Linked DNA regions of Callithrix jacchus. The protein of the gene in region 5 purifies or fractionates together with the protein of the main gene of each other region. This does not show direct contact. Links are inferred from orthologs where the notes say so. Each region holds a gene or a part of one and is shown on either strand. Other genes may lie near its edges.

The links.
Region 1: the proteins of TNRC6C (region 5) and PAN2 purify together in Homo sapiens (affinity purification with western blotting; 3 studies listed by BioGRID and IntAct, with this or other methods). This does not show direct contact. The link is inferred for Callithrix jacchus from reciprocal best matches to the Homo sapiens genes TNRC6C and PAN2.
Region 2: the proteins of TNRC6C (region 5) and AGO1 purify together in Homo sapiens (affinity purification with mass spectrometry; 5 studies listed by BioGRID and IntAct, with this or other methods). This does not show direct contact. The link is inferred for Callithrix jacchus from reciprocal best matches to the Homo sapiens genes TNRC6C and AGO1.
Region 3: the proteins of TNRC6C (region 5) and AGO2 purify together in Homo sapiens (co-immunoprecipitation; 6 studies listed by BioGRID and IntAct, with this or other methods). This does not show direct contact. The link is inferred for Callithrix jacchus from reciprocal best matches to the Homo sapiens genes TNRC6C and AGO2.
Region 4: the proteins of TNRC6C (region 5) and CNOT10 purify together in Homo sapiens (co-immunoprecipitation; 3 studies listed by BioGRID and IntAct, with this or other methods). This does not show direct contact. The link is inferred for Callithrix jacchus from reciprocal best matches to the Homo sapiens genes TNRC6C and CNOT10.

What each region holds. Positions count from the first base shown.
Region 1 is NC_133510.1:63,314,572-63,318,769, reverse strand, and holds part of PAN2 (PAN2-PAN3 deadenylation complex catalytic subunit PAN2), read right to left. Parts: intron 3,340-4,198; coding exon 3,170-3,339; intron 3,057-3,169; coding exon 2,936-3,056; intron 2,770-2,935; coding exon 2,692-2,769; intron 1,933-2,691; coding exon 1,665-1,932; intron 1,269-1,664; coding exon 926-1,268; intron 719-925; coding exon 622-718; intron 1-621. UniProt on the Homo sapiens protein: Catalytic subunit of the poly(A)-nuclease (PAN) deadenylation complex, one of two cytoplasmic mRNA deadenylases involved in general and miRNA-mediated mRNA turnover.
Region 2 is NC_133508.1:72,474,953-72,479,150, reverse strand, and holds part of AGO1 (protein argonaute-1), read right to left. Parts: intron 616-4,198; coding exon 495-615; intron 69-494; coding exon 1-68.
Region 3 is NC_133517.1:56,982,765-56,986,962, reverse strand, and holds part of AGO2 (protein argonaute-2), read right to left. Parts: intron 3,452-4,198; coding exon 3,364-3,451; intron 2,122-3,363; coding exon 1,974-2,121; intron 1,177-1,973; coding exon 1,057-1,176; intron 903-1,056; coding exon 780-902; intron 1-779.
Region 4 is NC_133518.1:70,901,294-70,905,491, reverse strand, and holds part of CNOT10 (CCR4-NOT transcription complex subunit 10), read right to left. Parts: intron 2,213-4,198; coding exon 2,095-2,212; intron 1-2,094. UniProt on the Homo sapiens protein: Component of the CCR4-NOT complex which is one of the major cellular mRNA deadenylases and is linked to various cellular processes including bulk mRNA degradation, miRNA-mediated repression, translational repression during translational initiation and general transcription regulation.
Region 5 is NC_133506.1:133,746,203-133,751,169, reverse strand, and holds the start of TNRC6C (trinucleotide repeat-containing gene 6C protein), read right to left. Parts: upstream 3,213-4,967; 5' UTR 2,969-3,212; coding exon 2,898-2,968; intron 2,589-2,897; exon of another isoform or gene 2,281-2,588; intron 1,605-2,280; exon of another isoform or gene 1,487-1,604; intron 1,156-1,486; exon of another isoform or gene 835-1,155; intron 1-834. UniProt on the Homo sapiens protein: Plays a role in RNA-mediated gene silencing by micro-RNAs (miRNAs). Required for miRNA-dependent translational repression of complementary mRNAs by argonaute family proteins.

The DNA.
Region 1 (4,198 bases), on a different chromosome or scaffold from region 5:
CACCTTTCCAGCTTAATACCCAGCTCTTTCATTACATTTTCCTTGGCCACTCTAACCCAGAGCAACATTTTCCCTCCAAACAGCTCTGGCACTAAATGCTTATAACATTCCTTCAGTATTTTTTTTTTTTGAGACAGAGTTTCGCTCTTGTTACCCAGGCTGGAGTGCAATGGCACGATCTCGGCTCACCGCAACCTCCGCCTCCTGGCTTCAAGCAATTCTCCTGCCTCAGCCTCCTGAGTAGCTGGGATTACAGGCATGCACTAGCATGCCCAGCTAATTTTTTGTATTTTTAGTAGAGACAGGGTTTCACCATGTTGACCAGGATGGTCTCGATCTCTTGACCTCGTGATCCACCTGCCTCGGCCTCCCAAAGTGCTGGGATTACAGGCGTGAGCCACCATGCCCGGCCCTATTCCTTCAGTATTTAACAACAGAACATAATTTCTGATATGGCTATGTCTTACCTTCACCAACCAAATATTAATTTCCTAAGAGCAAGGACCCTAACATAGTTCCATCAATTTGATAGGTTCCAAAAAGCATTTACCTAGTACAGTAAAAAGACAGGGTAAACTTCAGTGAGCTAGGGTAGGGGCTGACCCTCCACTCTGAACACACCTGATTGCGTAGCCTGGTGCGGGGATTGGGTGCATAGCCAATGAAGCCCACCTTCTTCATGGTGCGCAGAATCTCTGCATCCACGGGTGGTGCTCGCCTACAATCCAGTATAGTTCTAGGGCTTAAAGGGTTGTGGTGTATACCGTTCCACTCCCCAATCCCCAAGGGTCCAGAAAAAAAGAAAATACTTAAGGTAGACAAAAATCAGGGAAGTAGTAGAATAGTAACAAGGCTAGCAAAGAATTCTGATATCTTGGCCCTTTCTCCCTCCTTCCCACCTTTTGGCCCAGAGGTAGGGTACAACCTGGGAGCTGGAGCAGAGTTGGCAGCAGGCCAATCCGAGAGAAGTGTGTCAGTGGTGAGCGGAACAGGGATGAGGGAAAGAGGCAGCAGGTCCTGGCTCCAGTCCAAAGGAGGCAGTGAGTCCACGAGACATGGCAAAGCAAACTCAGTCTCACGGGAGTAGGGGTTGAAGGAAGGCTCCGGGGAATCAGTCCAGAGATGCACACAGCCCTCAGAATCCCCAAAGGCCAGAGCCTGCTTGCTGGCTGACACATCAAATGTCATTAGCAGAGGCCCCACAGGATTCACATGAAAGATATCTGCTGGGTTGGCCAGGCCTGTGGGTTCACAGAACTGACACTGCCCTGCAAAGGAGGAAGAAACCCACTGAGCCCTAGAAAGTGAAAGAGAGCCATACTCTTACACCCTTCCTATCCTCTTCCCCTGATTTCAGGGCAAGATGGGCCCCAAATCCATGCCTAGAGACAGAATGCCACCTGATGCCTTCCCATAAACCATCAATGGTTTGCTATTCATCAAACAGTAATTCTACAGTAATTTTGCCTACTTTACCTTTTTCCACAGTCCTCACATTCAAGAAAATAAAAGTTCTAATCTCTGGCCAAACTCAAGTGAAACCCTGGGACTCTGATGAAAGGTTACTTCTTTCCCGAACAAAGAGGTTTCAGGAAGAGTACTGCAGGTTCTAGCTCTCCTTTGCTCATCGATTCCTCCTACCCAATCCCATTTACCCTTCATACCTGACTGAGAGATGATAGCAAGACGAGAAGTATATGTAGGAATGAAGCGCAAGAAGGCAGGATCTACGTGTACTTGAAGTGGTGTGATGGCACGCATCATGCGCAAATCATACACCTTGAGGAAACGGTCACAGGCCAGGCCAGTGAGGCGGCTGGAGAAGCCACAGGCAGCTAGCAGGTTGCCGTGCACATCAAAATCTGACAGACTCCCCGAGAAGGCATCAAACTCATGCTCTACTTTAAAAGTACGAAGGTCTCTCAGGGAAACCTTAAAAAAAAAAAAAAATCAGTTATCTGCAAATTCTGTTATCAGAAAAAAAATAACTGCCACCTACCTAACCTAGTGGGGTCCCTACCAAAGGAGCTAAAACTTTAGGATATGGACTCTTTTTCCCCACAGAAAGGGCATTCAGAGGATATGGACTCTTAGAGCACAGAAAAGGTAAACAGAGAACCCCAGAGCCAGAAGGGGCTCCAGAGAGAACTCATTTACCCTTTTTGCCTCCAGGGCACTTCATTATCACAGAAAACATCAGGCTGCAAAATAATCTCAGAGTATAACATCACTGAGTAGGAAGTGAATTCACTCCACTCATCCTCATCTCCAATCCAGCTACACCCCAGAGTTAAGGGAAAGCAGGCCAGGCACAGTGGCTCACGCCTGTAATCCCAGCACTTTGGGAAGCCTAGGTGGGCCAATCACCTGAGGTCAGGAGTTTGAGACCAACTTGACCAACACGGAGAAATCCCGTCTCTCCTAAATATACAAAATTAGCCAAGTGTTGTGGAGCATGCCTGTAATCCCAGCTACTTGGGAGCTTAAGGCAGAATAGCCTGAACCAGGGAGGTGGAGGTTGTGGTGAGCCGAGATCTCACCATTGCACCCCAGCCTGGGCAACAAGAGTGAAATTCCATCTCAAAAAATAAAAAATAATAATAAATAAAAAGAGTTAAGGGAAAACAGATCCCAATCAAGTATCTACTGAAACAGGGCCCTGCAGTGGGAGGAGAAATAGAAGTTGGCCACCTTGCCAGACGTGTGGCCGCAGAAGAAGAAGCGATTTGTCTGTCTCATAATGGTGACTCCCGGCATCTCTACTGCATACTGGAGAGGGAAGCAGGAGAAACCAGTGAGAAGATTGATTTTTCCCAAAAACCAAAGGAACAGAAAGGTCATATCCACATCTCAGACACATTACCAGCCCAAGCATAACCCTGCTCCCTCAACAGCCTCAGACCCTGCATAGGTCTTTCTTGTCCTAGGCTTATACCTTCTGGGTCTCCTGGACAGTGTTAAGATCAATCTCCAGTATGTGATTCTGCAGCCCACCAACAAGTAGAGTACTGCTGTCAGTCAGTAGGAGACTGTGCATATCCTCATTCTCATCCAGCCTGTTGGGGAGAGGAAAGGCTCAGGGGCCCAGGCTTTACAAGCTGCCAATCCCTTAGCCTTCCCATCCTACGAGGTATCTTCATTCCCAGTCTAAAGCTGAGAAGCCACTTACAGGTAATCAAATATAATGAGGCCCCCACGGGCCATATACTTGAGGTTGTTCTTGGTGAGAAAAAGGATACCATTCTCCAGGCTCTGAATCTGCCGAATGTCATCACTGCCATTGACCTGAAAGGATGAGTAGCGCTCCAAGGCTGGGCCGAAAAATGAAGTGGCATGGCCCTATATGGGACAAAAACAACAGAGACACTCAGAGTGGAGGGGCTCAGGCACTGAGTCCCCTCAGGGACTGAACACGCATGGCTCAGCTTTGATCCTTTCCTGCTTGGCTTTTGTGACTAGGAGCAACTGATGCAAAGGGCTAGGAACCAGTCAATCTTAGTGACAGAGACACTGATAATACTGTCTTACGTTTGTTTAATGTGTTATACAGTATTTTTGTAAACTCTATCTCATTTTATCCTCACAATGACCCTGCTGAATAGGTAATGGCTCAGTTGATTACAACAGAAGGTCAGGGACATAGTCCAAGGATGAGTTAGAGGCAAGGGGCTCTGCCTCTGTTTCCCTTCCTCATGCCGCATCCAAGTCTCTATTCAAATATAGGAACTTCTGACCAACTATCTAAAACAGCAACATTGTTTCAAAAAGAGTCATTAGGAAAAAAGATTAAAACAAAACACTATAAAACCAAACTAAACAGCAACATTTCCCACCTTTCATTACCTCAACCTCCTTACTCAACAATTTTTTTTTTTTGAGATGGTGGTCTCATTCTGTCAGCCAGGCTGGAGTGCCATGGCACGACCTTGGCTCACTGCAACCTCTGCCTCCCGGATTCAAGCGATTCTCCTGCCTCAGCCTCCCAAGCATCTGGGATTACAGGCACCCACCACCACATCCGGCTAATTTTTGTATTTTCAGTAGAGGAGGTCAGGAGTTCAAGACCAACCAGGGTTTCATCATGTTGGCCAGGCTGGTCTCGAAATTCTGACCTCAGGTGATCCACCCACCTTAGCCTCACAAAGTGTTGGGATCACAGGTGTGAGCCACCGTTCCCCGCCAGTATTTTTCTTAAGAG
Region 2 (4,198 bases), on a different chromosome or scaffold from region 5:
AGCCATTTGATGGAGACCTTAAAGATTCGATCCTTCCCTTCCCCAGGGATTGTCACCTCAAAGTCGACCTTCAGGAGGGTGAGAGAAAGGGGTGAAGGATTGCCATTGCTCTGCCAGAATAACCCGACTCCACGGATTTGCTGAGAATATACTCTTCAAGTTGATAGGGGCTTATAATGCAGACTCCAGAGTAAGTCCAGGCCCTTAGGTTCTAGCCACCTTGGTTCAGTGCTTCTGTTCCTCTCAACTACCTCTCAGCCTAGCAGGAAGTCCTTTAGGTCTATTTTAAGTCTAATCTCAATCGGTTTAGGACACAGACAGGCACATGACAGACTAAATAAACATCAGCACCTACCCACCCCTCACCCTAAAACATACTTTCTCAGCACAAAAGATGAAAAGGATCTCTGGACCACCAGACTCCAAAGAGGCTTACATGAGATTGGTTCTACCCCAGACCCCTGACACAGGCCTAGCCTGACTCCCAGCCTTACCCGTTCGTTGCCAATGGGCAGTGCTGTGACAGTGTAAATGTTCTTCTTTCCGTCATACACAGGCTTGCGATCACCAAAAATCTGAGGCTTGAAATGCTGGACCATGTATTCCACCACTTCCCTGTGGGGGATAGGAGTGGCCTGTGGAAGCTGAGAGACTACCACCACTTCAAGCTTTTGGAAGTAATTCAAAGTCCAGGCAATGTCCCATCTATTATATTTACTCCTAACATCTACTCTATGACGGTGCTTCTCAAACTTTAACATTCCTATGAATCACCTGGAGATTTTATTAAAATAAAATGTAGCTTCTGATTCAGCAGGTCTAGAGTAAAGCCTGAAATTCTACATTTCTAACATACTCCCAAGTGACGCTGCTGGTCCTCAGATCACTAAGGTTCTAATGGACCTGAAAGACTGGTGTGAGTGCCTTCTGAGAAGAGAGGGAGGCTGGAGGGAGAAAGGTTTGACTCCAGGGTCTACGAAGAATCAGGAATAGGACTAGGTATGGTGGCTCACCCTGTAATCCCAGTATTTTGGGAAGCTGAAGCAGGAGGATCACTTAAGCCTAGGAGCTTAAGGCTAGCCTAGGCAACAAAGTGAGACCCTAACGTATTAAAAAAGAAAAACATTTTTTTAAATTAGTTGGGTATGATAGCATGTGCCTATAGTCCCAGTTGCTTGGGAGACTAAGGCAGGATGATTACCTGAGGCTGGGAGTTTGGGATTTCAGTGAGCTATAATCACACTACTGCACTCCAGCCTTTGGAAGGCCAAGGTGTGCAGTTCGCTTGAGCTCCTGAGTTTGAGACCAGCCTGGGGAACACGGAGAAATTCTGTCACTACAAAAAATACAAAAATTAGTCAGGCATGGTAGTGTGCAGCAGTCCCAGCTACTCAGGAGGCTGAGGTGGGAGAATCACTGGAGCCTGAGAGGCAGAGGTTAGTGAGCTAAGATCATGCCACTGAACTCCATCCTGGGTGACAGAGCCAGATCTTGTCTCAAAAAATTAAAACAGGCCGGCTGCGGTGGCTCACACCTGTAATCTCAGCACTTTGGGACCCTGAGGCGGGCAGTTCACAAGGTTAGGAGTTCAAGACCAGCTGACCAATATGGTGAAACCCCGTCTCTACTAAAAATACAAAAATTACCTGGGCATGGTGGCACATGCCTGTGGTCCCAGATTCTCAGGAGGCTGAAGCAGAAGAATCGCTTCAGAGAACCTGGGAGGCGGAGGTTGCAGCGAATCGAAATCACACCACTGCACTCCAGCCTAGGTGACAGAGTGAGACTCCGTAAAAAAAATAAAATAAAATAAGTTAAAACAATAAAATGAGGAACAGAATCTAGGCTGCTCCAATCTCCAATCCCAGATCTGATAAGCAAAAAAGATAGAAGAGATCTGAACTGGAAATAGAAACAAACTGGAAGAAAAATCTCATCTCTTAACATCTCTTACTTCCTGTTCTCTGACACTTAGACCCCAGGGTGTACATTTATTCCTTCAAAATTCCAGTTTATCTAACCAACTGACCTCCACAGTTTCTAAATCAAAGCTCTTATACACTACTGGATTAAAACACTCAAAACAGTGTATTAGAAGCAATTGTGATCATGTGGTGCCAATCCCAATTAGGCTTCAGTGCTGCCTCCTAGCAATCTTTTTCATGTTCCTGATTACTTCTATGCCTCCTAGACCATATAGACTATGAAGAACTTTCTCCACTATCCTCTAACTCCAGAACCCATTCCTGTCTCCTATCAGGAAGCAGCTCTAATATCTGAAAAAAGCAGTGGATAGTACACAAGGCCAACCTCAAGTTCTCAGATACCTACACAAACATATTTATATGTGCAGGCATCAATTTTTCTCCTTTCCTCTTACACTCAAAATGCTCCTTCCATATATTACTTTTAAACATATAAAAATATATTCAAGTTCCCTTATTAGAAAAAATACAATTTAAAATTAGACCAAGATCAGAATGCCAAAGATCAAAAAAATCTGAACTATTACACTGGTGTAGGTATAGGAATCAGACATTCTGATGCCTTATTGATGGGAGCATAAGTGGGTACAACTTACCTTTAAAAAAAATGTTGCAATATCTGAAAACTCTGAAATGTATCAGGCCAGCAGTCTCACTTCTAACAATTTATCCTATAAATACACTCATATTTGAGTGCAAAAATGTATCTCTATATAATATTCAACAGTTTCATTTTTGTAGCAGAATTTAGACTAAAATGTTCCTCAATAGATTTATTACATAAGTTATATTACAGCCACTCAACCTATGCAAAAGAATGAGGCAGATCCATATGTGCTGGTATGCAACATCTTCAAAAATATATTGATTCAGTGGAAAAATGCAAAGTATGGAACAATGTATAAAGAACCCTATGTTCTGTGTGTTTAAAAATGTTACATATGTACATATGCCTGCATATGTGTAGAAAAGTATCTAGAAGCATATTCAAGAATGGTAACCATTGGCTGGGCACAGTAGCTCATGCCTGTAATCCCAGCACTTTGGGAGATGGAGGTGGGGGGATGGCTTGAGGTCAGAAGATCAAGACAAGCCTGGGCAACATAGTGAAACCCTGTCTCTACTAAAAAATACTAAAGTTAGCTTGGTCTGGTGGCGAGTGCCTATAATCCTAGCTACTCAGCAGGCTAAGGCAGGAGAATCGCTTGAACCCAGGAGGCAGAGGATGTAGTGAGCGAGATCGCACCACTGCACTCTGGTCTGGGTGACAGAGTGAAACTCCATCTCAAAAAAAAAAAAGAATGGTAACAATTGGTCAGGAATGGCTTACACCTATAATCCTAGCACTTTGGGAGGCCTAGGTAGGCAGATCACTTGAGGTCAGGAGTTTGAGACTAGCCTGGCCAACAACGTGGTGAAACCCTGTCTCTACTAAAAATACCAAAAAAAATTAGCTGGGCATGGTGGCAGGCACCTATAGTCCCAGCTACTCAGGAGGCTAAGGCAGGAGAATTGCTTGCCTGTCATCCCAGCTACTCAGGAGGCGGAGGGTGAAGTGATCTAAAATGGAAACACTGCACTCCAGCCTGGGCAACAGAGGGAGACTCTGTCTCAGGAAAAAAAAAAAAAAAAAAAAAAAGAATGGCAACAATTAATGGTACTGGGGGACTAGAGACCAGGGTAGTAAGGAGACATTTTTCACTGCTATTCTTTTTGTAATACCTGAATTTTTTTATACTATACATATAGTTTTTAAATAATAAAAAATTAATTAATTAAAGAAATATCACAGAGGCCGGGCGCAGTGGCTCATGCCTGTAATCCCAACACTTTGGGAGGCTGAGGCGGGCAGATACCTGAGGTAAGACGTTCAAGACCAGACTGGGCAATGTGGTGAATCCCTGTCTCTACTAAAACCACAAAAAAATTAGCCGGTGGTAGGCACCTCTAATCCCAGCTACTCAGGAAGCTGAGACAGGAGAATCGCTTGAACCTGGGAGATAGAGGTTGCAGTGAGCCAAGACTGCACCATTGTACTCCAACCTGGGCAACAAGAGAAAACTCTGTCTCAAAAAAAAGAAAGAAAGAGGGCCGGGCACCGTGGCTCATGCCTGTAATCCCAGCACTTTGGGAGGCCGAGGCAGGTGGATCACGAGGTCAAGAGATCGAGACTATCCTGGTCAACATGGTGAAACCCCGTCTCTACTAAAAAT
Region 3 (4,198 bases), on a different chromosome or scaffold from region 5:
CAGGAGTTAGAGGCTGCAGTGAGCTATGATCATGCCACTACATTCTAGCTTGAATGACAGAGCAAGGTCCTGTCTCAAAACAAACCAAACTAGGGCTCATGTCTGTAATCCCAGCACTTTGGGAGGCCAAGGCAGGTGGATCACCTGAGGTTGGGAGTTCAAGAACAGCTTGACCAACATGGAGAAACCCCATCTCTACTAAAAATACAAAAAAATTAGCCAGTCATGGTGGTGAATCCCTGTAATCCCAGCTACTCAGGATGCTGAGGCAGGAGAATTGCTTGAACCTGGGAGGCAGAGGCTGCGGTGAGCCGAGATCGTGCTACTGCACTGCAGCCTGGGCAATAAGAGCGAAATTCCACCTCAAAAAAAAACAAAAAAAAACCCAACAAAACCTAGAAGTTAAATTAGTAAGGACAAAAAACTGTTACCAAACACCCCCAAAGCAAAAGTTAGAGAATAGAAAAGTGGCACAGGCTTCTGGGAAGTAATTCAATCCTTGATGAGCATCTATCACACAAAGAATGGTGCTCTCTAAACTTTCATGGGCTAATGCAAATTATCTTTTCAAAATATTAAGGATAATTCAGAAAAACCTTAAAAAGGTCTGAGGAAAGTCATTCCTTTAAGTCCCGTGCTTTTTACAGGCTCAGCCTGGAGTAGAAAGGATTCTCCTACTGCAACATGGTCTACACCGAGGGTGACAGCTCAGAACCTCAGAGGGGTCACGGGCAGACACAGGCCCCGCAGCCCCACACACCCCGACGCCCTGCACGTACCCGGCCCCCGTAAAGGATGGAGGGCGGCTGCAGCACCCGCCCAGTCACGTCTGTCATCTCATCTTTGACCATGATTCCAAATTCACGAACGTATGGATCTGTGTTGAAACTCGCGCTTCGCATCTGGCAAAGGGAAGAAAGAAAACGCACGGAGTGGGCGGGGGGCTCCACTCTCTATAGCAGCCACGTCCATTCTAAGCATCAGGGGTTTCTGTGCCAGGGCAACCGAACTGGACTCTTCAGGGCGTGGGGTGCCCCACGTGGGGCTGACGCTCACCAACTTGCTAATCTCCTCTTGCCGATCAGGCGCCGACCTTGCAGTTGCTCTGATCATGGTTGAGGTCTGATTGTCCGTTAACTTTTTAATGCATCTTTGTCCTGCCACTATGTTACAGACCTGCAAAGAAGACGCAGAGACAGGCATCAGCGCCTCACTGGTGTGACCAGGGGAGCCGGCAGGGGGCTCAGGGGCTGGTGGCCTGGCTCTGCCCGGGACGGTCTCTGCCTCATCCCTGGGCTGTCAAGCGCTGGGCAGGTCGCTGCTGGGCTGGCTCCTGCTCCATGGCCTTCTGCTTCACAACAGAAATACCTGCTAAGTAAACCCAGCGTCAGGCAAACACGCAGACCCCACGGACCCCACAGCCTCTGTGGCCAGCCCACTAGGCGAGCGGGGCTGTGTCTTGACACCGGCCCTTCTGGGCCCTCTCCAGTCTTCAGGGCCACAGGTGTGAAAGCGGCTACAGGTGCAAAGGACGTCTACCTGTGGGATAAGGCACCGGAGCCACCCAGCCCTGCCTGAGCGACAGGCAAGTGCCAAGAATCTATACACCCAGGGGAGAGTGGTGTTTGAGCCTTTCCCGAGGCAAGGATTTTTGGAACAGCTGTGATAGAGAGTGAGTGACGCAACCGTGCAGTGATGGATGACAGAGCACCTGCAGCCCCTGTGGGACCTGCGGGAGCGTCACATACACTCTCAGTCAAGGCTCACGCCAACCCTCCAGAGAGCTGCCCGCCCCACTTTACTGAAGGCAAAACCGAGGTGCAGCAGAGCTCATGAACGCACCCGAGTTCCCACAGCAGGAGAGGCGGGGCCACTTGCACCCGACTGGGGCCGCGGCGGTTTCTCGAAGCTGCATGCCCCAGCCTGGGCTGCCCTCCCAACCCCACAGAGGTGCACATGAGAGGAAGACTTGCCTCCAGGGGAAGGTAGGTGTGTTTCTGCTCCTGTCCGACTTGTAAACATGGGAGGTGGGGGTAGCGCAGAACCAGCTTGTGCCTGTCCTTGAAGTACTGGGCCACCGTGCACTCCACCGTCTGCCCGCTCTCCTGCTGCAGCGGGAATCTGGGGAGCAAAGGGCCTTTCAGGCTGAGGTCATCCCGGGCCCCGTTCCGGCGCTGCTTTTCATCTATCATTTGCTTTTTAGGGTGAGGTGTGAGGAGCACACGTTCAGAGCACTTCCAGGAATGAGTACGCATCACGTGCTCTGGGGTATCTGGGATGTTCCCGGGCGTTTTGTCTCTGGGGCTGGGAAATAAAAAACTACCTATATGCGTCATTACTCTATCATCATAAATTACCCACAACACCACAGTGTGTGTCAAGGAGTCAGGATGAACAGAGCCGTCAAGAAAGGTCTGTGCGTCTTCCAGAGAGCATGGTAACCCTGGAGGCCATTTCCATGCCGCACGCCCAGTGCCCAGAGGGCCGGCAGCCCCCAGGACAGGATGAGGAAGGCAGGCCATGCCTATTCTGGCAGCCAGGGCCTCTGAGTGGTGACAGTGGGGTGCGGCACGGGCAAGTGCAGGGAGGCCTACAGGCACAGGAAGGGTGGGCCTCTGTGTGGGGACAAGTGGATGGGGCAGCTGCCACAGGGCAAGGACCACATGGCTCAGTTTCCACTATACCAACCCCTTCCCTCCGTCCAGACTGCCAGGCCAGCCACCTGTGGCCTCTGCCAGGTGGGGGAGGGGGCCAGGCCAGGCTACAGGCCGTCTCCTCCCTCTGCTCCCTGAGCCACGGGCATCTTGGTGCCTCCGGTGCCTGGCAACAAGCCTGGCGCTTTACATGGAATGATCCATGAAGTGGATGAATCCTACTGGCCTGGGAGACATTAAGTGGAGCACTGGGGCCAAATCTATGGTCCCCTTCACAAAGGAACACCAGTACAACCCGACAGCACTCATCCCTCCACCAGCCTCGGTACCAAACTGTGCTCTAGCCATAACGACAGGACACACAGGCTGGCCCAGGGACAGGGGCGTGCATCAGGGCCACAGCCCCTCCACCCTCAGCACTCAGGATGGGACAAAGAACACAGAAGACTCTTCTCTCGTCTGTGAGGCTCAGGAAGGAAGAGGGAGAGAGCGCCCAGGCCTGCCCTCCCGGCACCCAGGTGAAATTTCACGATCTGAGTTTATTTTGTTAGGTGAAATTTGGAACCTACTGAGCTATGTGAGGAACAATTTTGGGGATTGAAAAACAGAATGAAATGGTCCTTTCCAGGGAATCATGGCTCCGAAGTGTGCCCAATGGATTGACAGCAGGGACCCCAGCCAACAGAGTCTGAAAGGAAGAGTGCATTACGTTTGGTGACTGGCGGGCCGCCGGGTGACGTTGCAGACACGGTACTTCCTCTTCATCTGCCCACAGTGCGTTATCTCCACCTTTAGACCTGGGGACACAGAACACAGCATCAGGGTCTAGGCTGTCCCAAGCCTGAGCACAAGCTCCACTTCCCGAGAATCCATTTTTATAGGAAGGTGGCTGCCGACCCAAGTTGTGGGAGCTCCATAGGGCTGCAGGGCTCCCCTAGAAAGGATGAACCACAGGTCACCCCCCAGGCCACCCAGTTGGGTCCATCTCACCTACAAGAGTACACGTGGTAGGGAAAGGCTCAGCTTACAGCATGGGGTGTCCACCCTCGTGCTGTTCGGAGCCCCCCATGGGTCACTGGGTTAGCTGTCCTCCCTGGGACATCCTCCCGGGGTACTGTGGATGGCCCTGCAAATGGCCTTCGGAAAGGACAGGTTCAGCAGGTAGGGCTTGTGGAGCCAGTGGTAGCCCCCACTCTGCTGCTGATGGACAGAAGGAACCCGGTAAGTCCTAGACCCCCAGATGTGAGTTTCTTAGAACAGAAAGCAGGCAGAGCGGGTGCAGACACCTGCTGGGGCTGCAGAAGGATTAAATGAAAACAAAGGAAATGCATCCTCGGTTCCAGTGTTAGAAACGCCAGTCACAGCCACACTGCTGTATCTAGTCCTGACCTCATGACTCGGACGTGACCGATTCCCCACCTGGTCCTCACCCCACGAAGTTGCATTTATTTGAGAAACCCCTACTCCTGCCCTGGAAATGGGTCTAACTCATCTCTGTGCTACTTCATCTGATGGCGACAGTCTGCTACCCCCACCTCCCTAAA
Region 4 (4,198 bases), on a different chromosome or scaffold from region 5:
TTTCTCAGTAATGTTTATGCATTGTATCTACCAATGAAATATTACGTAGAAATTAGAAACAAGGAAGCAAGTATATGTGGAAACTGCCAAAGTATATTAAATGAATAGCAAGAATATACAGAAAAGGACGGAGTGAGGCCGGGCACTGTGGCTCATGCCTGTAATACCAGCACTTTGGGAGGCCCAGGCGGGTGAATCACTTGAGGTCAAGAGTTTGAGACTAGCTCGGCCAAGTGGACTGTGAGGAGAAACTACAACAATGAAAACAAAAAACTAAAATTGAGCAGAATTAGAAATGGGTATTTAGAAAAGAAAGAATACCCTCAATAGAATTATAAGGAACAAAGTGCCCTTCTCCATCCTCCATCACTCCAGTGAACTGAAAGGGTAAATGGGGGAAGGTCTGAGTGTGTTTGCAGGTATACTCGTGTGTGTATCTAAATAGAATCCAAAACAAACCAAAAACCATGTAGTTTGCATTTTAAACTTGAGACAAAACATACATTTTCAATAGTTTATCCTCATTTCTTGAATAAATGATTTTCCTTCTCCTGCTCCATAAAATAGTAATGATATAAACCTAAATGACATTCACAATTTTTACTTTCATGTTACCATTAATATTAAGGGATTTGTAAGACTTTCTAAATAGAGGTAAGAATATGTAATAACACTTATCTTCATAGCTTTATAGAAAGATTTTTTGATATAGTTAATGATCTAAAGAAGTCCTATTCATTGGGCAAGTTACTGAAAAAAATCGTATTATTAACTGCCTTTATGGCAGAAAAAAGTTAAGAACATTATATTATTTACTTAAAAGGTCACAAAGCAAAAGTCCAAGGACCTTATAAAAACAAATGAAAGAGCCAGGTGCAGTGGCTCATACCTGTAATCCCAGCACTTTAAGACACTGAGGTGGGCAGATGACTTGAGGTGAGGAGTTTGAGACTGGCCTGGCCAACATGATGAAACCCAGACTGTACCAAAAAAACAGAAAAATCAGCTGAGTGTGGTGGTACATGCCTGTAGTCCCAGCTACTTAGGAGGCTGAGGTGGATAATCACTTGAACCCGGGAGGTGCAAGTTGTAGTGAGCCAGGATCGTGCCACTGCACTCCACCTTGGGCAACAGAGCAAGACTGTCTCGAGAAAAAAAAAAAAAAGAGCAAGTTGGGTTAAAGAAAAGATATCTGGGTCAGGCACAGTGGCACGCTTGTAATCCCATCACTTTGGGAGACAGAGGTCATCAGATCACTTGAGCCCAAAAGTTTGAGACCAGCCTGGCAACATAGTGAGACCTTGTTTCTACAATAAATAAGCCAGGCATGGTGGTACATTCTTACAGTCCCAGCTACCTGGGAAGCTGAGGCGATTGAATCGCTTGAGCCCAGGAGGTAGTGAGCTGAGTGAGCTGTGATTGTAGCACTGCATCCAGCCTGGGTGACAAAGCAAGATCCTGTTTCAAAAAGAAAAAGAAGAGAAAGAGAAAGGAAAGGAAAAGAAAAAAGCGATCCAATCTGGAAAAGAATCTAAAAAAAGGAAAGAAAGCAAAGTAAAAGCAAGAAGTAATGAGGTTTCTTCTAAAGTAGAGACAAGAATTTCCGGAATTTTTTTGCAGCAGAAATATTAAAGTATTTTCATTGAAAAATTAGCATATGGCAGGGTGCAATGGCTCACACCTATAATCTCAGTCCTTCTGGAGGCCAGGGTGGGCAGATAACCTGAGGTAAGAAGGCCTAGATCAGCTTGACCAACAATGGAGAAACCGCGTCTCTACTACAAATACAAAATTAGTTGGGTGTGGTGCTGCACGCCTGTAATCCCACTACTCAGGAGGCTGAGCCGAAGAATCGCCTGAACCCAGGAGGCAGACGTTGCCGTAAGCCAAGATTGCGCCACTGCGCTCCAGCCTGGGAGACAGAGTGATACTCCGTTCCCTACCCGAAAAGAATCAGAGCATATAGAGCCAAAAAAAAAAAGAAAAAGAAAAATTAGCATAAATTACTTGAAAGACTGGGTGTTGGGAGGTGCACAAGTAAGAAGGGGTAGAAGAGGAAGATAAAAAACTTAAAATTTCACAATATTCTTTTACCTGTTTTCATGAATCCTGGATGCTCAGCGATGTTTGAACTATTCAATAGCTTCACCGCTTTTCGATAATTACCTCTTAAGTACTCAAAATTGCTTTTAAGAAAGAGAGAGGGTGCAGACTGTAGAGAAAATATAAACATTACTTATAATTGTTTTCAGATGCCTAATGTAGGATCTTAATTATACTGTTGTACTGACGTGTTCAAAACCATAAATTAATTAATTAAGTCACAGTCACAAAAAACTATATAGTCTCTAGATTTTTCATTGCTCTCACAATCTAAAAAATTGAAACTTGCCAGAGAGCACTTTGTAAAAAGAATTGCTAAGTGTCTACCTGAAAAAATTAATATAAGTATATGTATAAGAATATAGTCTGTACCAGCCTGGCCATCATGGTGAAAGTCCGTCTCTACTAAAATACAAAAATTAGCTGGGTGTGGTGACACATGTATGTAATCCCAGCTACTCGGGAGGCTGAGGCAGGAGAATCCCTTGAATCTGGGAGGCAGAGGGTGCAATGAGCCAAGATCACACCACTGCACTCCAGCCTGGGCGACAGAGCGATACCACTTCTCAAAAAAAAAAAAAAAAAAAAAAAAACCAGAATAAAGTCTGTATCAACTGATTGTGTTCATCCACTACACTACTAGCTGAAAATCAATTTGACAGCATGCTATGGCCTTCATTTTAATAGTTATTAGAGAGACTGGAGATCTTTCTTACTTTTTAGGATACAAATGTACCTTTCATTAGAACTTACAGATATAAACAAATACTTTTCCAAATTAAAAAAAAAAACTGTCATTCTATAAACGGAAGAATTTTTTGACAGAATGTCTTATTTGCAAGCACTAATCTTGCTGTTCCAAAAATCACATTTTGATTGGCAGATTACCTTTCACTTATCCTAAGAATCCTCATGGTGGAGGACCCTCTAAATAGTAGCACCCATTTAGAGTATGAAAGCATGCAGAGCTCTGGAGACTAAACATCCATTCAGGAGGACATCTTGAATATTTATTTATTTATTTATTTGAGACGAAGTCTTGCTCTGTTGCCCAGGCTGGAGTGCAGTCGCATGATCTTGGCTCACTGTAACCTCTGACTCCTGGGTTCAAACAATTCTCCTGCCTCAGCCTCCCGAGTAGATGGGATTACAGGTATGTATCACCACGCCTGGCTAATTTTTGTAGAGACAGCGCTTCCCCATGTTGGCCAGGCTGGTCTCGAACTCCTGACCTCAGGTGATCCCCCTGCCTCAGCCTTCCAAAGCACTGGCATTACAGACATGAGCCTCCTTTGCTCTGCTTCTTGCCCATCCCAGAGTTCTGATCACTAAGGAGACAAGGGCTTTCAGTGCTTTTTTTTTTTTTTTTTTGAGACAGAGTCTCGCTCTGTCGCCCAGGCTTGAGTGCAATGATGTGATCTTGGCTCACTGCAACCTCTGCCTCCCGGGTTCAAGTGATTCTTCTGCCTCAGCTTTCCAAGTAGCTGGGACTATAGGCGGTTGCCACTATGCCCAGCTAATTTCTTGTATTTTTAGTAGAGATGGGGTTTCACCATTTGGCCAGGCTGGTCTCAAACTCCTGACCTTCTGATTTGCCCGCCTCAGTCTCCCAAAGTGCTGGGATTACAGGCGTGTACCACCTCAGCACTTATTCTTTCTTAGTGGTGGCTATTCCTCCTGAAGTTTTTGCTGATTTAAGATGACCGTTATACGCCGAATTATATTAATTTTCATTTGTCTTTTTTCTATGACCCTGGTCTCCATTAAGGCAGGAATTAAGTCTTTTATCATTTTTTTTTTTTACAAAGGTTTGATAATGGCTGGCTGGCTAATTAGGCCTTTCCCTCCCAAGCTCAGGTGTATCTAAGCCAAAATTCTTCTTGAAAATCACAGCATAGTAACTCTGACGAATCTGGATCACGCCTGAGATTTCTAACCATATTTTCTCATGACTTTATGCTTCTAAATTTAGTTTTCCTAGAAGCATCAAGATTGTTCACAATTCTGTTTCTTCCCTACACTATCTTAAAAATTATCAATCAAAGATTAGGGTGGAGGGTGTGGAAGGAAGGAGTAATTCTATCTCAAATACTTT
Region 5 (4,967 bases):
AATGTTCAAAGACCATTGCCACCTCTGTTGCTCTCGAACAATGTACATTCCTCAAGGTGCCCTCTACCAACCAAGTTCATCTGGCCTGGGGCTAAGTTTTGTCATTTATTCTTTCACACAGTACTGAAGGAAATCTGAAATCTATGAATGTAATTGTCAGCATCCGTACACATTTCAAACCAGCTACCACTGTCCTCTGAAATCACTCAAGCCAGGTTTCCAGGGTCTCAACTCATTCGCATAGTTATTCAATTCTAACTGCAGGCAATAACTGGCATAAAATAAGCCTTGCACAGGGTCAAATTACACGCAGGGATGCACAAGGCTCTCGCAGCGACCATCAATGGGCTACCTTGTACTGGCCGAAGTACATCAACGTGAACACCAGATACTCCAGAAAAACCGAACCTCGGCTACACAATGGATTAACCCAGTCAGGAGGCTCCAATTTGCAACTCCTCAAAAACGCTTAAGTTGGACATCTACAGAGCACCATTTTGAGTTTAGAATCCTCAGTTCACGCCTAGAAATAACCGAGCGGACCACTCAAATGGAGGTTTCATTTGGCGGAGGCAAAGGTTTGAGACAACTCCACTAATTACGTGCAGAATCACCAACACCGTCAAATGCCTTCGAAGGCACTAGGCGCAGCCACGATCTAGCGGCTCCTCCGCCCCTACCTCCCGGCACCACATCCAAGCAGCATGCCTTCATTTTTGCTACGATCTCCAAAGCTCTGTGTAACACGCACGCCAGTGATTTCTTCGCCAGGTTAACACGCAGGAAGCCCCCCCCCCCACACACACATTCACATCTACATATTTTCATAGCTACCAGCCAACTAGTTAAATCTCGTCCGCAAGGTAAAGGTGAGAAGAAGGCATCGCTTAAAGCAGAGGTGGCGACCAGGCGCTCGGGTTGCGTTATCAGATAACAGGGCACAAGTGGCTCGGCTCGTTTTCCTCTAACGCATGACTCCGCAGTCCGCGGCACCGTTAGAAAATCCACCTGATTTCAGACCCACAGAGCGCCCAAGGGTCCTTCTCCGCCAACCCGCAGCACGCCCCGGTTTCTCTCGTCCCCCAAACAACGACACTGAGCTCCTGCGCCGAAACGCGGCGGGCTCGTGCCTGCCATCGTCAATGCAAAACCTGCGGGTGGCTGCCGGGAGAGGACCGAATTTCACCGCCGCTTGAGTTTTAAAGAGGAGGGGGCACATCCATCCTCAGCCCTCCATTCCGCTCCCGTCTGATTGTGCTGCACGCCGGCCGTCTGCACAGCCCAGTCTCACACTCGCGCACACGCGCCCCGGCCCCGGCCGCTTCCCGCCGCTCCCCTCCAAACCCGGCCGGCCGGGGGCCCGGCGCCGCACGCGGGTCGCTCGGGGCCAGCGCCCGCCCCGGCTCCCCTCGGCCGAACAAAGGGCCCGCGAACCTCCGGGCAAAGTTGCGGCGGCGGCGAGGAGCCAACGGGCGGCCACGCTCACCTGGGCTCCGTCCCGGGCAGTGGCGGCGGCGGCTCCGCGGGGCTCCGGCGACGCGGGCCTGGCGGCGGCGGAGACAGCAACACGAACAACCGCCCAAGGGCCTCGGGGGTGCGCGGGCGGCGGGGGCTCGCTCAGCGCCGGCGCCGCGGGCTCAGGTCCCGGCGCGGGCGGCGGCGGCGGCGCGGGCGGGTGGGCGGCGGCGCGTCTCGGCAGGTCCAGGTCCGGCCCCAGCGACGCCGCGACGCGTCCTCCTCACGCCCAGCGGGACGAGGCTCCGGCGCGGCCCGGGTCCTAGGCGGCGGCGGTGGCAGCTGCGGATGGCTGGGCGAGGGGCCGCTCCGCTCCCTCCGCCTCCGGCTCGGGCGGGCCCGCGGCGGCGGCTGCGGTGAGGGCGGCGGGAGCGCGGCGGGCGCGGGGACAGCCCTGTCAGGGGGCGGCCCGGGCGGCGCTCAAGGCTGCGCGGCGGCGGGGCCGACGGCGGCGGCTGCTGGTCCCGGGGCCGTCGCTCTGAGGTGCGGAGCTGCCACCGCGGCCATCTTGTTGCTCTAACTGACAAGAACCCCCCTCCCCCCGCTACAGCCAGACGGGGCGCTCGCGCCCCCTTCCCCGCCCCACGTTGGCCTCCAACAGGAAGTCGTCCCGGCCCCTGGCACGTGACTCCCACTGCATCTGCATACCGGAGGGCGAATTGGCCAATTGGCGCTCGGCGCTTGAGCTCCTCCCCCGCGCGCCCCTCCCCGGTCCATTGGCTCTTCGGCCAGGCCACGCCTCCTCCTTGCCACCTTAATACCCACCCGCCCGCGCTGTGGTTGCCTACACCGCGCAGGGAGCGCGCCGGGGTGCGAGCGGCGCGTTCTCCGCCTGTCCCGGAGGCGCGCCAGTCCTGGGAGCTCGCTCTACTCTGTGGGGTGCGTGGAGACCCGCGTGGTGTCCTTCGCCGCCTCCGCCTGCCCTCTGGTCCCTGGGCGCTGTGGCTCCGCGTTAAGGGTACTGGCGGGAGGGGCGCCGACCGGGATCTGCGCCTCCGCTGGGTTCTCCCGGCCAGCGCCCTGCGGCGCCCGGGCTTTGCGCTGTTATTTCGCCTAGCGGCGTTGGCATTCTCTGCGACGGCGCCCGGCGCCCGCACCGGCGCGCGTCCCGCTCGTGCAGTGCACACGCCCCGCACTGCCCCACCTTCCACACACACGCACACGAGTCCGTAGGGTCCCCGGAGCCTCCTGCTCACCCCGCGCCTGCCGGCCCGCCCTTGCGCGCAGTCGCTCCCCAGGGAGCGCCCAGCTGCGAGCAAAACAAGCCTCGCCGCAAAACAGTGCCCCGGGGAGTCCGCCCTTTCCCCGGAGCACAGACACCCTTCCCCCACCGCGCGAGCCTTCTGTCCGGGCCGAACCCGGTCGCTCCGGCCCCTACGCACCCCGCGATTCCTCCCCGGTGCTCGGGGCGCCGCCGTGATCCTCCATTCCACGGCTCCTCCTCGATATCCATTATTCATTAGTGGTAGGTGAGGTCACGCTCAATGTGCAATTCGAAAAGTCCGTTTTTAACTTTCGGTTCGAGCCAGGAGAAGATTTTGAAACCAAGAATTCTCTCCATTTTCATGCAAGGTCGCAGAAGCAGGCTAGCTTTTCCCCCATCGCTCGGAGGAGGTTCAGCGGTGCTACTTGGAAGTTGTTATTGGAAGAGGCCATTCCCTGTCTACGTGTCCCCGTCTTGAAGAGGAGATAATAACACACTAGTACTTTCGCAATGCAATTTTGTTACCGCAAGTGTCATGCTTTGAAACGTCTGTGGATGAAAGACAAATTCCTCGCTCTCGTTTCCCTTCGGGGTCCCATGAGCTCCTTTCTTCTTACTGCCGTATTTTCAGCCCTCTGGTAGTTAGATTCACAAGGGTCGTCAAATGTCTGCTGTGTTGTGTATTTCCCCTCCCAAGAACCCACATCCCTTAGAAGGATCTGAAGGCAGACGGAGCTGGCATGGAGGCTTCTTCTGCCTGTTCATTTTATGTGCATTCATTTAATTCTCGACTGCGGAGAACCTGCCTCCTTTGTATTTCTCCAAGGTAGAGGTATTATCACATGTTCCAGAAGGGAGTGCAAAATAACATCGTCACAACAGGCAGCGCCCACGAAGTAGGCTGCTACGTAAATGAGGACTCCAGGTATCTTGGTGGACCAATCCTTGTGATAAGCAGAACTTCACTTTTTGGAAAACTGAACCAAGATACATTATTTAGCATTGTCTTTGACTTTGGAGTTGTGGTTCTCACCTCTCCAGTTCCTCTCCGCTTCCCTTTATCCCTCAGGCAAAAATCGTCCTATTCTCCAATGATACTAGACTCTGAGCACCGAGAAGCAGAACTCTAGATGTTATATGTTCTGAACCCCAAACCGGACTCATAGTTTGGCATGTGGACCTGGGGCAATAGAGAGAATATTTGAAACTGAAGCTGACCCAGAGACATTGAGGCATATGGTGGCCATGAATCTTAAGACTGCAGAGCAGCGTCACTAATTAGCGGTCGTTTGCACTGATAAAATACGAGTAGGAACGCCAAGCAAAACTGTAAAATGGGTCCATTCATGTTTGGGGTTGATCATCCTCTTATTAGCCCTGCCACCACCACCTTATAACTAAGGTATAAATTGACCATCTATTAAAAATGGGCAAAACCAACAAAATTATGTTTACGAGAATTCAATGTTAAATGTATCTCTTAAGTTAAAATGTCAGCTAATTGAGGACAAATGAAGAAGACCTAGCTGGAGACAAGGTCATGTAAAAAATTCTAGTTTTAGATGACCACATGCTCAACAAAGCTAAATGTGTGAAATGGTTTGTTTAAAACAATAACAACAATAACAACACCACATTACAATAGTGTCCAGTTTGGCTGGGCGCACTGGCTGATGCTTGTAATCTCAGCACTTTGGGAGGCCGAGGTGGGCGGATCACCTGAGGTTGGGAGTTTGAGAGCAGGCTAGCCAACATGGTGAAATCCCATCTACTAAAAATACAAAAATTAGCCGGCGTAGTGGCAGGTGCCTGTAATCCCAGCTATCTAGGAGGGTGAGGCAGGAGGATCACTTGAGCCTGGGAGGCAGAGGTTGCAGTGAGTTGAGACTGTGCCATTGCACTCCAGCCTGGGCAACAAAAGCGAAACTCCGTCTCAAAAATAAATAAATAAATAAAATAGTGTTGAGTTTAAGATATTGTACTCTGAGCTGGCCAGATCCCAAATGGAGTATTTTGGCCAGTTCTGGGCACTATGGTGCGAGAAAGAAATTGACAAAGTTAGAGACTGACTGGGTATACAGCCAGTTGTTGGTGGAAATCCTCCAGTCTTTGACCAACAGCTGAAGCAGCAGAAGAGATTGGGGCAGGGAAGAAGAGACAAGGAGGACAGGAAGGCTGTCTTCAGATATTTTTAAAACTCCCATATACAAATAGGCACAGATATATTCCGTGAGATCCTAAGAGGCCA